2 linked regions of the Bombyx mori genome follow. The protein of the gene in region 1 purifies or fractionates together with the protein of each later gene. This does not show direct contact. Links are inferred from orthologs where the notes say so. Each region holds a gene or a part of one and is shown on either strand. Other genes may lie near its edges.

Region 1 (6,129 bases):
GTTCAATATATGGTATTTATAAATGTGTATTTTACAAGAACTCCATTTTCAACTCAATTTTAAGTAAACTCAAATACACCAAATATAAGGAACCAATCAAACAGAAAATAGAACATTTTAGGAAGCACAGACATAGTCAAACCAGTAGAGCCTCAGCATCGGACCAAGTCACAAAGAGAAAAGAGGATAAGTTTGTTCCTAATATATGGGAAGACAACATATCTAAAATTTATAAATTAAGAACAACTATGCAATAATTTAAGCTGCATCCACCATTTTCCTGATCGAAGAAATATACTTAAAACTTACACACTTAACAGATAAGTGATCCATGACTAGGCCCAATGAATACAATTATTTGTGTCAGAATTATTTCCCTAGATAGGTGGATGGCTAGATGATATTGTTCCTTCATTAGAAGTCATGTCTGAACATTGGGTCAAGATCATATTACATTAGAAAATGTTATACTAGAGTATGGAATTTGAACGCCATAGTCCATAATATCAAATCCTACTACCATCACAGGTTGATCAGGTATTTTAAATTACTGTTTACATTAAGATAACTTACATTATGTACATTAAGATAACTTAATTGGAATTAACTTTGATGACATTTTTAATTAGATAGGTAATTCTTATCAATTTGTTAACAAATTGATTAATAATATTTTTTTTCGGTAGGCAGCGGCTTGGCTCTGCCCTTGGCATTGCTGAAGTCCATGGGCGACGGTAACCACTCACCATCAGGTGGGCCGTATGCTCGTCTGCCTAAAAGACAATAAAAATAAAAAAAAAGATCAAAATATTTTCAGTCATTATGATGCTTTGTTGGTAAAAACCTTATTCAGTGATTACTGGAGCTCATTAACATCACAAGGTGAAAGTTGTCACCTGTCTTGAGACTGTTTGAGTATCAATTATGTTGCATTTATTTTTAAAATATAAATTTGGCTCCAACACCTTTGATTTTGCCAATGTCAAAGTATGAACAAAAATGGCAGGTGCTTAGAGAGAAAAAAAATACTAAATACAAATAAATTTGATCAGTTTTGCCATAAGCATATCTGTGATTTTAAGACAAACAAATTTATGTTACTAACTACTTTAAAGATAAATATTATTAGCAGATAAAAATTTACACAGAACATTTACATGTTTAGAATAAAGTTAATAAAATTATGTTGAATTATGACTGTCTCACCCGTCAAATTGGAATGGCTGACTTTGCCAGTGAAATAGCCAGGATGGTGGTACTTTCACATTTATGCTATCAAAATACTTTATCACCAAGCTTCAACTAACCATGCTAAGAGCTCAATATCTTGAGAATTGGAGATCTAAGCTTCCAGTATGAACATTTGAAAATGAACATAGTTACTTACCAGTTTTGATATCGTTTTTAATACCATCTTCATCTGATACACAAGATGGTTTAGTATCATCTAGACTATCACTTTCCCTTTTAAGCTCATTGTATTCCTGTTTTATATCTTGATTGGGAATACTATTTAATTCTATGCCATTTTGCGATATGACATTCCGTAATTCAACATCACTTTTCTCGCATTGTAAGTTGAAGGCGTACACTTTTTTCAACTGTCGACTGCAGTCTTTGCAGATGCCTCGAGGTAGTCCGTCATCAACTATTGGCTAAAATTATTTTTAAATAAATGACTCATTATTTTTCTCTACGATATCTTTAATTTAGATTCGAAACTAGTTGTTTCTGTTACATTCTTGTTTGTTATCAAAATTTGACGCCACTATGCAAATTTACTCGGTTTCATAATGAAGCTAGTATTTTTTGGTAATTAATGAAGTTAATTTAAAACAACAAAGCTTGTTATCTTAAGTGTTTACGGGAGTTTTATTCAAATTTAGTTTTTCATTATCATTTTCCAGAGAACGATTGCGTTTAATTTTTTTTCAAATTTCCATTCTAACGTACCTTTAATTTCGTACAACTAGCCAACATTTCACTGTATAACGTTTTTCTTTTCACATAGTAACAGGTAAAAATATCGAAAATTTGTTTGCTTGTTTGTAAGCATATTCTGCACATTGTTTTCAGATTAAGATAGGTCACTGACGACTCGGAACTATTCGACATCATCAGTACTACACTAATTTGAAACTTACATTAATAATAAATCAAAACATTTACATTTCTTTTTAAAAAAAAAATTAATTACAAAATTGGTAATCGAAACACAACACCACACAAACAATGTCAAGTTGCGTTTAATTTTTTTGTGTTCAAATAAATAGGTCATAATGTTGGTAATTTTAAGATAAAATGATTAGAAAAATAAGTTGCACGCGTATTTTTACAGAATTAATTTAACTCACTGTACTAAAAATCGTAAACATATATTACCAAAAAATCTAATTTCGTTTTATTACAAGAATCACTCTTGGCAGATGGGAGTATGCAAGAATAAAACGATCAATTTTAGTCGATTGTCACATCTATTTTATACATCAAATTTAGAGCTCAACTCAAAGAAACGCTTCGGATTTCTGACAGCTAGATAAAATGTCGGCGTTCGAGTAAATGTCATCTGTGCTGTTTGTTTTCGAAAATTGTTGAATTATAGCAAAACAACAGGTTACTTAAACTAAAACCATGTCGACATTGCAAAAGACTATTATGAAAAATAAACTGCCACCAAGATGTCCTAAAACGTCTGGTGTATCCAAGTATGTTTGACATTCCGCTTAGAATATCTTGAAATTTGACAGACTTCTTTGAGTATTAAATTTTAACTGTGTATTTTAATTAAGATTCGATTAGAAATCTTCAGTAATCTAACGAAAAACACTAGTTCATAAACCATAAATAAAATGTACTGTTTTTTTCTTAAAATTTCAGCAACAAATTATTATTGCGGTTTTTCAAATTCAATCGTATCTCAGGTTGGCGCCTTTCGGTGCTGGGCGCCGTAAAGACTATACACCAGTATCTTGGAAGCAGTATTTTGAAAGGTTCGTTGATGTGGAAACCGATGGAGGAACTTTCCGGGTGTACCTGTCGCCGGAGCCCGATCACCCTCAAAGACCTAGATTTGTAACTCTTCATGGAGGGGGATACTCGGGACTCAGCTGGGCATTGTTTACTGTAAGTTTTGAAATGTTTTGTTAATTACCCATCGGAAAAAATTGTAATAACTTATGAATCTGTTGGATGCTCACTATTAAGTTGTGGTATTTTTAACTTATATGTAGTTTGATATGGGATATTAAAAGCTTCAAAATTCTTCATTTTTAGCTGTCCTAATGTCGAAAAGGAATTCTTTAGCATAACCATGACACGATATTCAATTTCTAAGCTAACCATAAATAAATAACCGTGGTGGTGCCTTGTAATCAATATATGGGACAAGTTTTTATACTAGTGTTTTTTTTAGATTAGTTTTATTTTAGATTAGTGGATGACATAACAAAATTACACAGTGTGGTCACACTACAACTTTATTAATGTTGACTCGAACACTATTTAATATTTATGGACATTTTACTATGTGTGTATGATGTATGTATACACAAATCCTAACTAGTGGCAACTCTATTATCTAAAATTTATTGCGTTTTTTACTAACAAATGTTAGATTAGACTATTAGATGTTTTTACATTAAAATTGATTTTGCACTTCGATAAAGCGGCACGACACGAGAACCCTCTGATCGTGGCTGCCAGTAACTACATTCCCGACCTTGCGGACAGAATGGAAAGCAGTCGACGTCGCCCCAACCCGTCGCCTGCGACGAAGGGCTCGACGAGTAAATTAACCCACAGACACAGCCCACTGAGTTTCTCGCCGGATCTTCTCAGTGGGTCGCGTTTCCGATCCGGTGGTAGATTCTGTGAGCACGGCTCTTGCTAAGGTTCGTGCTAGCAACGTCATTAGGTTTGAGCCCCGTGAGCTCACCTACTAGTTGAGGTTACGCTGTCTGGCGGGTAGCCATCATACAACGCAAGATATTTGACAGATGCCTGAATCTTGCATATATACAAGTTCCGAACAACCACATTCGGACCATCGGTCTGCCGAGCAAATATCACCCGCTCGGTGAAAGATCTTCCCTTTGTCGTTAAACACCCCAAAGCTGACATAGCCTCTCAAGGCTATCAGCTTAGGTAGGAAAAAAAACGATTTTGTTTCTGCATCTTGTTTGATTACTACTAATGAAGTTGTAGAAACGAACGATTCTAAGAAATTAGTCTTCAAATCTAAAAGTCACAGTTTTATCTTCTAAGATCATTATCACATTTATTGTATTGTTTTACAGGAGGAAATCACAAACATGGTGCACTGCCAAGTTGTGTCAATAGACCTAAGGGGCCACGGTGAAACAAAAGCAAACGACTCTGATGATCTCAGCGCTGAAACATTGGTTAAGTGAGTATAATTAATTTTTAGTATCTATTTTCTAAGAATATGTAATAAAAATACCACATTATTAAAATGGTGATGAATAGAATCTTAGTTGTCTTTCATACAAAAAATAGCTGTGAAATAATATAATGAAAATAACAAGCACGAAATTACACAGTAAAAGTGGTTTAAGTCATATTTATGACTTGAGTAAATTAAAGATAATATTCTACATAATATATACTTCAGTTAAAAAATATAAAAATTTAAATTGGGACATGAAAACATATATAAATAGTCATAAGTTTTTATTGTTTATAATGAATCTTAAAACATTTTGATTTCCAGAGACGTTGAACAAGTGCTACACAAGTTGTACGGTGATAGCTTACCACCTATAATACTGGTAGGACATTCAATGGGAGGAGCTATAGCAGTTAGGACTGCTCTCCTACCAACACTAGAACCATTTGTGCAGGGAATAGCAGTGATTGATGTTGTCGAGGGTAAGAAATAGTTGAAAGATTTATAATAACTTGAACGGTGAAAAAGATTAATGTTGCACAGTTATCAAAATTCTGTTTTCATTTTGGTATTTCATTTATTATGAATTTCTAATGGCCACGAGATTTACTTCAGGAGCTAGACTGCGGTTTGTATTCAGTGCCGTGCACTTTTGTGATTATTTCAAAAGGTTAAATGCAGATTATCATGAAGTAGTATTGATTACAAATCACTAGTCATTATGCTAGATGCATTAGACTAGGCAATTATTATTAAGAGCCTATTGACAACAATCAATTTTCTTTGAAACATGAAGTAATATAACACAAAATAATATTCTAAACTTCACCAAAAGTAAGGGAAAACACAACTCAAACCGGAACACAACGGCTTTGTGCCAGTATAGGCAGGACAAGTGTATCAACCTCACAATCAGACAAGGTCCATTGGTTTTGTATAATTATAAACTTTGTGGGTCACATTACACCAGGAGATATTTTATAGTGGAACTTGAAAGTTATTACTACATCGCAATTCAATCTTGATCTACATAACTAAACCCATTATCTAATCTGTTAGGGCATGGATGGTACTAATTGTTCTTTTGTTACTTGTAAGATGATTATGAAGCTACCCTTATAGTACTTGTCATAATTATATCGAAGTTTCGTTCCGTAGGGATTCCACCAAACTGTACTGGAGCAGCCTGGTGGAGCATGCTCCACTCCTCTGGTTATGAGGAGAGACAGTTGCCCGAGAGTAGGTCGCATGGATTCATATTATATAGGAAATGCTTTTAGTTACTCAAAGTCAGTTGATTTCAGATATTAGAATTTGAAAGGCATTATAATAAACCTCATTTCCCAAAAGAAATTCACTTAGTATAAGTTTCCAAACATACAGTCAAATTAAGAAATTCTCACGGATCGTTTGGAACCCCTGGGTCTGCGGAGGGACTTCGGTTTCCTCTGTATTTGGTACTGTATGTTCCATGGGGAGCGCTCTGAGGAATTGTGTGAGATGGTTCCCTCATCTCCTTTTTATCATCGCACCTCCCGCCATCGGAGCAGAGTTCATCCATATTATCTGGAACCGCTGCGTTCATCGACAGTGCGTTTTCAGAGGTCTTTTTTGCCACATACCATCCGGCTATGGAATGAGCTCCCCTCCACGGTGTTTCCCGAGCGCTATGACATGTCTTTCTTCAAACGAGACTTGTGGAGGGTATGTAGGCAGCGGCTTGG
Region 2 (4,228 bases), on another chromosome or scaffold:
TAAATTTAAATTCATCTTCCTCTCACAGGTTAGTATTTGGGTTGTTTTGTCTACCAAAACTACTGTGATGACTTATCAGCTGGTGGGCTTTAAGCTTGTCTGCCCTGCTACAGCAAAAAATGAGTCTTATTATATTATGATAAGTGGCGATGCCTGCATCAAGATTTATTTAATGTTGTTCAGCAATAAATAATAATTAATTATCGTTTATAGATTAAGAAATAAGAAGTTACATTGCTGGATAATAGCAAGGGCCAAGAGTCATTTTTTGGAAATGTCATTATATCAAATGCACATAATAAAAAAAATTCTTAACATCAGATTTAGAAATCGATAAGGATATCAAAAGTATGATATGAAACAGAAAAATTTACTCTTGATCCAAATTTACTATTTTCAATTATTGCTCTATTTTTGTTTCATGTCATACGACACTAAAGCCACACCAAAATTAGAATTACAGTGACCAGGCAGTAGGCAGCAGCTCGGTAGTGGTCCATTACTCCAGTAACTACTCACCATCAGGTGGGCTGTATGCCTACTGCCTACAAGGCAATGAAAAAATAAAAATGGTAAATGTCATGCGTAGAAAAATCAAAATCATCATGAATGCAATGTCTCAGCTGCATAAGATTTGGGCAGACAGGTAAAAAATATTAATGATAAATTAAATAACATGTATTAGGTCATTTTTTCTTTGGTCTAATCAACACAAATGATAAAGATAAATTTGTCTATTTTCCTTTTGTTTTTTTCTAATGACACTGATACAATTTTCCTTACAGCATCTAATTTGACGAAATTCAATGATATTAAATGTACGTTATATGAAAATTAATTAAATTTATGATGAAAAGTGGGAGTAAATTAGTATTGATTACCAAAAGTTTAAATACAGTATATCTAATGAAATCACTTTTACAAAATAAACACTGAAAATAAAATTCAGTATACAAGGACAAAAATGTAATAGAAATGTTAGATATCTGTTTATGTCATTTTTTAACACTTACATACTTTTTAGTGCTGTAATAATTTAGGTAGTGAATAATACCTACTATTACCTACTGAAATATTTGTGAAACTAAATTAGGCGCACTTAATATTAAGATAATATGAACAGAAATGGTTCGGTTTTAGTGAATTATATGACATACCTGAAACTATTAGCGCCTCGTTAGGACCGACAGTGTGGATGTTGCCCATTTTGAATCCTTTTACAGTGACTTTCACGATACACACACTGCACTTCACAACTAAAACGATAACAAACTTGTTTAATTTACCGAAAAATCAATAAATATAAAAACAACAGTGACAATGAACGAACCGAATGAATGTCATTAATGATAACTACACCCATTCACCATCCCACCCACCCTTTTTTTTACGGGATTTTATAGCCTGGTAATTTTAGCCTAGCTATGGTTTTTTTTGGCGGGAACGCGAGGAGTGAAGTTGTGTGATTTGTTTTATTTTGTCTATTTAGTGTTTCTTCGGGTTTAAATGTGTAATAATGGTGGTTTATTAACCGTTTAATATCTGTGAAAGTGCACAAATGTGGGAAAATGAAACAAAGCCGCTGGACGTAACTTCTCGGGATCCTCCAAAAAGTCCACTGAAAAATCTTAGTAAATGACCACCATTTTACTGAGATTAGATTTCATCTCATATCATCTCATTTAATTTCATCCCAGTTGATTAATGTCTCAAATTAATCATTTTCATTTCATTTCACTCCATAATATCATTTTTCATAAAATTAAGAATATAGATTAAAATAAGACATGACTTAAAGGTCTCAGTTACCAGGTCATAAAATCTCTTAAAAAAAAAAAAAAAAGCTACCAACCAGCCATAGCATATCTGATACAGTAAATATATTTGAGCCATAGACTAAACACAATTCTATATACTACGGTCAATGGCGGATGCGTTAGAATTGTCGAACGAAAGTATTGTAATAATTGAGATATCAGTAACGAAATTAGATAAAAACATTCAACTGTTGTTGAAATAGACATTGTAAGTACTATACAATAAAATTATCTTCATTGTCTTTATAACCTAACAATTTGGTGGTTCGTTGTGTTCTGGTTTATCCCCACTGAAAGAATGCCCAATTTTTCTATGTAAACTGAAATGTGTATCTCTTAAGGTAACGTGACCGAGTGTTTTAACATGTCTGATACGAGCGATCTCGATCGTCAGATCGAACAGCTGAAAAGATGTGAGATTATAATGGAAGCAGAAGTAAAAGCCCTATGCGCTAAAGCTCGAGAAATTTTGGTAGAAGAAAGTAACGTTCAAAGAGTGGATTCGCCCGTAACGGTAATGTATATTATGTAAATATTCACAATATATTCAAATAATAATGCTATCATTGTGCTATCAAATGATTTCACAAATTTAAATTACACATATTTATATGTTAATAAGTTCTTTATAACCCATAACAACATATCAAATTGCAGTAATTCTTTTATGAATCATAATAATATGCGTAATAATAAAGAAATTGTAATTGTAAATGTAATGAATTGTTACGTTTGCTTAGTATACATTGAATGTTATAAGTATCTTATAAAAAATAAACCATTCTCAACTATTAAGTGAACAAATATTCAAGTGAAATCAAAATTTATTAAACCATGAAAGCTTGTGAGATGTAACAGAAAATTCAAATCAATATACATATAAGTAAATCCTCTGCATGAACATGGGAAATGACACAATAATATATTTTATCCATAGGTTTGTGGAGACATACATGGACAGTTTTATGATCTAAAGGAACTTTTCAAAGTTGGAGGTGATGTACCCGAAACAAATTATTTATTTATGGGAGACTTTGTGGACAGAGGATTTTATTCTGTTGAAACTTTCTTATTGTTACTTGCACTAAAGGTAATTTTTAACATTATTATTGAACAATAATCACACATTAATTACATTGCATTAGTATCTCAAGAGTGAACATTATGATCTTTATTGATACGTCAGAAGTTGCCTGTTCTCTTGCCTCGAGCTCTTGTTTGAAAAGCGTATGCAAATTAATGATTCAGATTGTGTTTTACGATTTATTCACCTTGCTTATAACCATGAATCTTTGAGTCATGACTCATCCAGTTCTCTCCAGTATGATTAAAATACTATAGTACTCTATATAAAAGGGAAGAAGACCATAGCAACTAAACTGACCTCTTGCAACTCTAAGGAGCTTCTAATTGATACCTGTTGAATGTTTTAGTGGCTCCCATGTTTCATCACTGTGCACGGATATAAAGTATACATGAGTGCCCACAAGTTTTAAATCATTATTAATGTCTACTAAAGTAAATCATATAATATACATGATTGTTTAAAGTAGCAGTCATAAAATGGTAGTAGCTTATATGGAAGCTGAGTTGACACTGGCCTGTCTTATATTAAGCTAAGTCCATAGAAGAATTGTACATTTCATTCAAAAAGAATTGGAAAAACAGTGTTTGCATTTCAGGCAACAGTACTTATTTTCTCTGCAACAAAAATAATAAATATAGTAAATAAAATACAGTAAAGCTAGTTTTGCCTTAAGAAAACATAAAAATGTACCTGAAACATAGTTTTTATTATAATATTGGGAAGAAGATAGAACAGACTTATCAATAGTTTCAGTAATATGATCAACCAATTTCGGACCACCCAAACACTTTCATATTTATAAAATACATAAATTTTTATATCAATATTGTTGAAACTACTTCTAAGGTTTAATCTCTCATTTTTTATTGCCATGAAAACCTTTGGAAATAATATAATGACAATGTAATATGCAAGACTAAACCATATAAGCTTATAACCTCTGACTCTCGAAAAGTTTAGATAGATGTGGTTAAATAGCAAAAAATAACATACTAACTGAATTAAACTAAATTTTTAAAGTTGTATTATATTTAAAATTTAGGTTAGGTATCCAGATCGCATAACACTCATCAGAGGAAATCATGAATCGAGACAAATCACACAGGTTTATGGTTTCTACGATGAGTGCCTTAGGAAATATGGTTCCATCACTGTGTGGAGGTTAGTGGCTGATATTCAAAATACATAATTTCATTGGATGCTACTTATTAACATATGTTTGCAACTGACTACCACTATCAAAAAGTAATATTATGTGCTCAAAATCAAACCTGCAAAAGTAATAAACTGCACAATTACTAGTGTTAGGACGTCATGTTAGTCC

The links. Proteins that work in one complex are often made in the same cells at the same time.
Region 2: the proteins of protein phosphatase methylesterase 1 (region 1) and serine/threonine-protein phosphatase 4 catalytic subunit purify together in Homo sapiens (affinity purification with mass spectrometry; 3 studies listed by BioGRID and IntAct, with this or other methods). This does not show direct contact. The link is inferred for Bombyx mori from reciprocal best matches to the Homo sapiens genes PPME1 and PPP4C.

The regions. Positions count from the first base shown.
Region 1 is NC_085113.1:11,192,781-11,198,909, forward strand, and holds the start of protein phosphatase methylesterase 1, read left to right. Parts: upstream 1-2,519; 5' UTR 2,520-2,631; coding exon 2,632-2,705; intron 2,706-2,727; exon of another isoform or gene 2,728-2,849; coding exon of another isoform or gene 2,850-2,851; intron 2,852-2,921; coding exon 2,922-3,123; intron 3,124-4,295; coding exon 4,296-4,405; intron 4,406-4,729; coding exon 4,730-4,887; intron 4,888-5,563; coding exon 5,564-5,644; intron 5,645-6,129. Other genes in the region: zinc finger protein with KRAB and SCAN domains 8, read right to left, coding at 1,388-1,655, 1,954-2,118. UniProt on the Homo sapiens protein: Demethylates proteins that have been reversibly carboxymethylated. Demethylates PPP2CB (in vitro) and PPP2CA. Binding to PPP2CA displaces the manganese ion and inactivates the enzyme.
Region 2 is NC_085122.1:4,603,082-4,607,309, reverse strand, and holds the start of serine/threonine-protein phosphatase 4 catalytic subunit, read left to right. Parts: upstream 1-1,428; 5' UTR 1,429-2,025; intron 2,026-2,158; 5' UTR 2,159-2,181; coding exon 2,182-2,331; intron 2,332-2,754; coding exon 2,755-2,907; intron 2,908-3,946; coding exon 3,947-4,065; intron 4,066-4,228. Other genes in the region: flotillin-2, read right to left, coding at 1,158-1,206. UniProt on the Homo sapiens protein: Protein phosphatase that is involved in many processes such as microtubule organization at centrosomes, maturation of spliceosomal snRNPs, apoptosis, DNA repair, tumor necrosis factor (TNF)-alpha signaling, activation of c-Jun N-terminal kinase MAPK8, regulation of histone acetylation, DNA damage checkpoint signaling, NF-kappa-B activation and cell migration.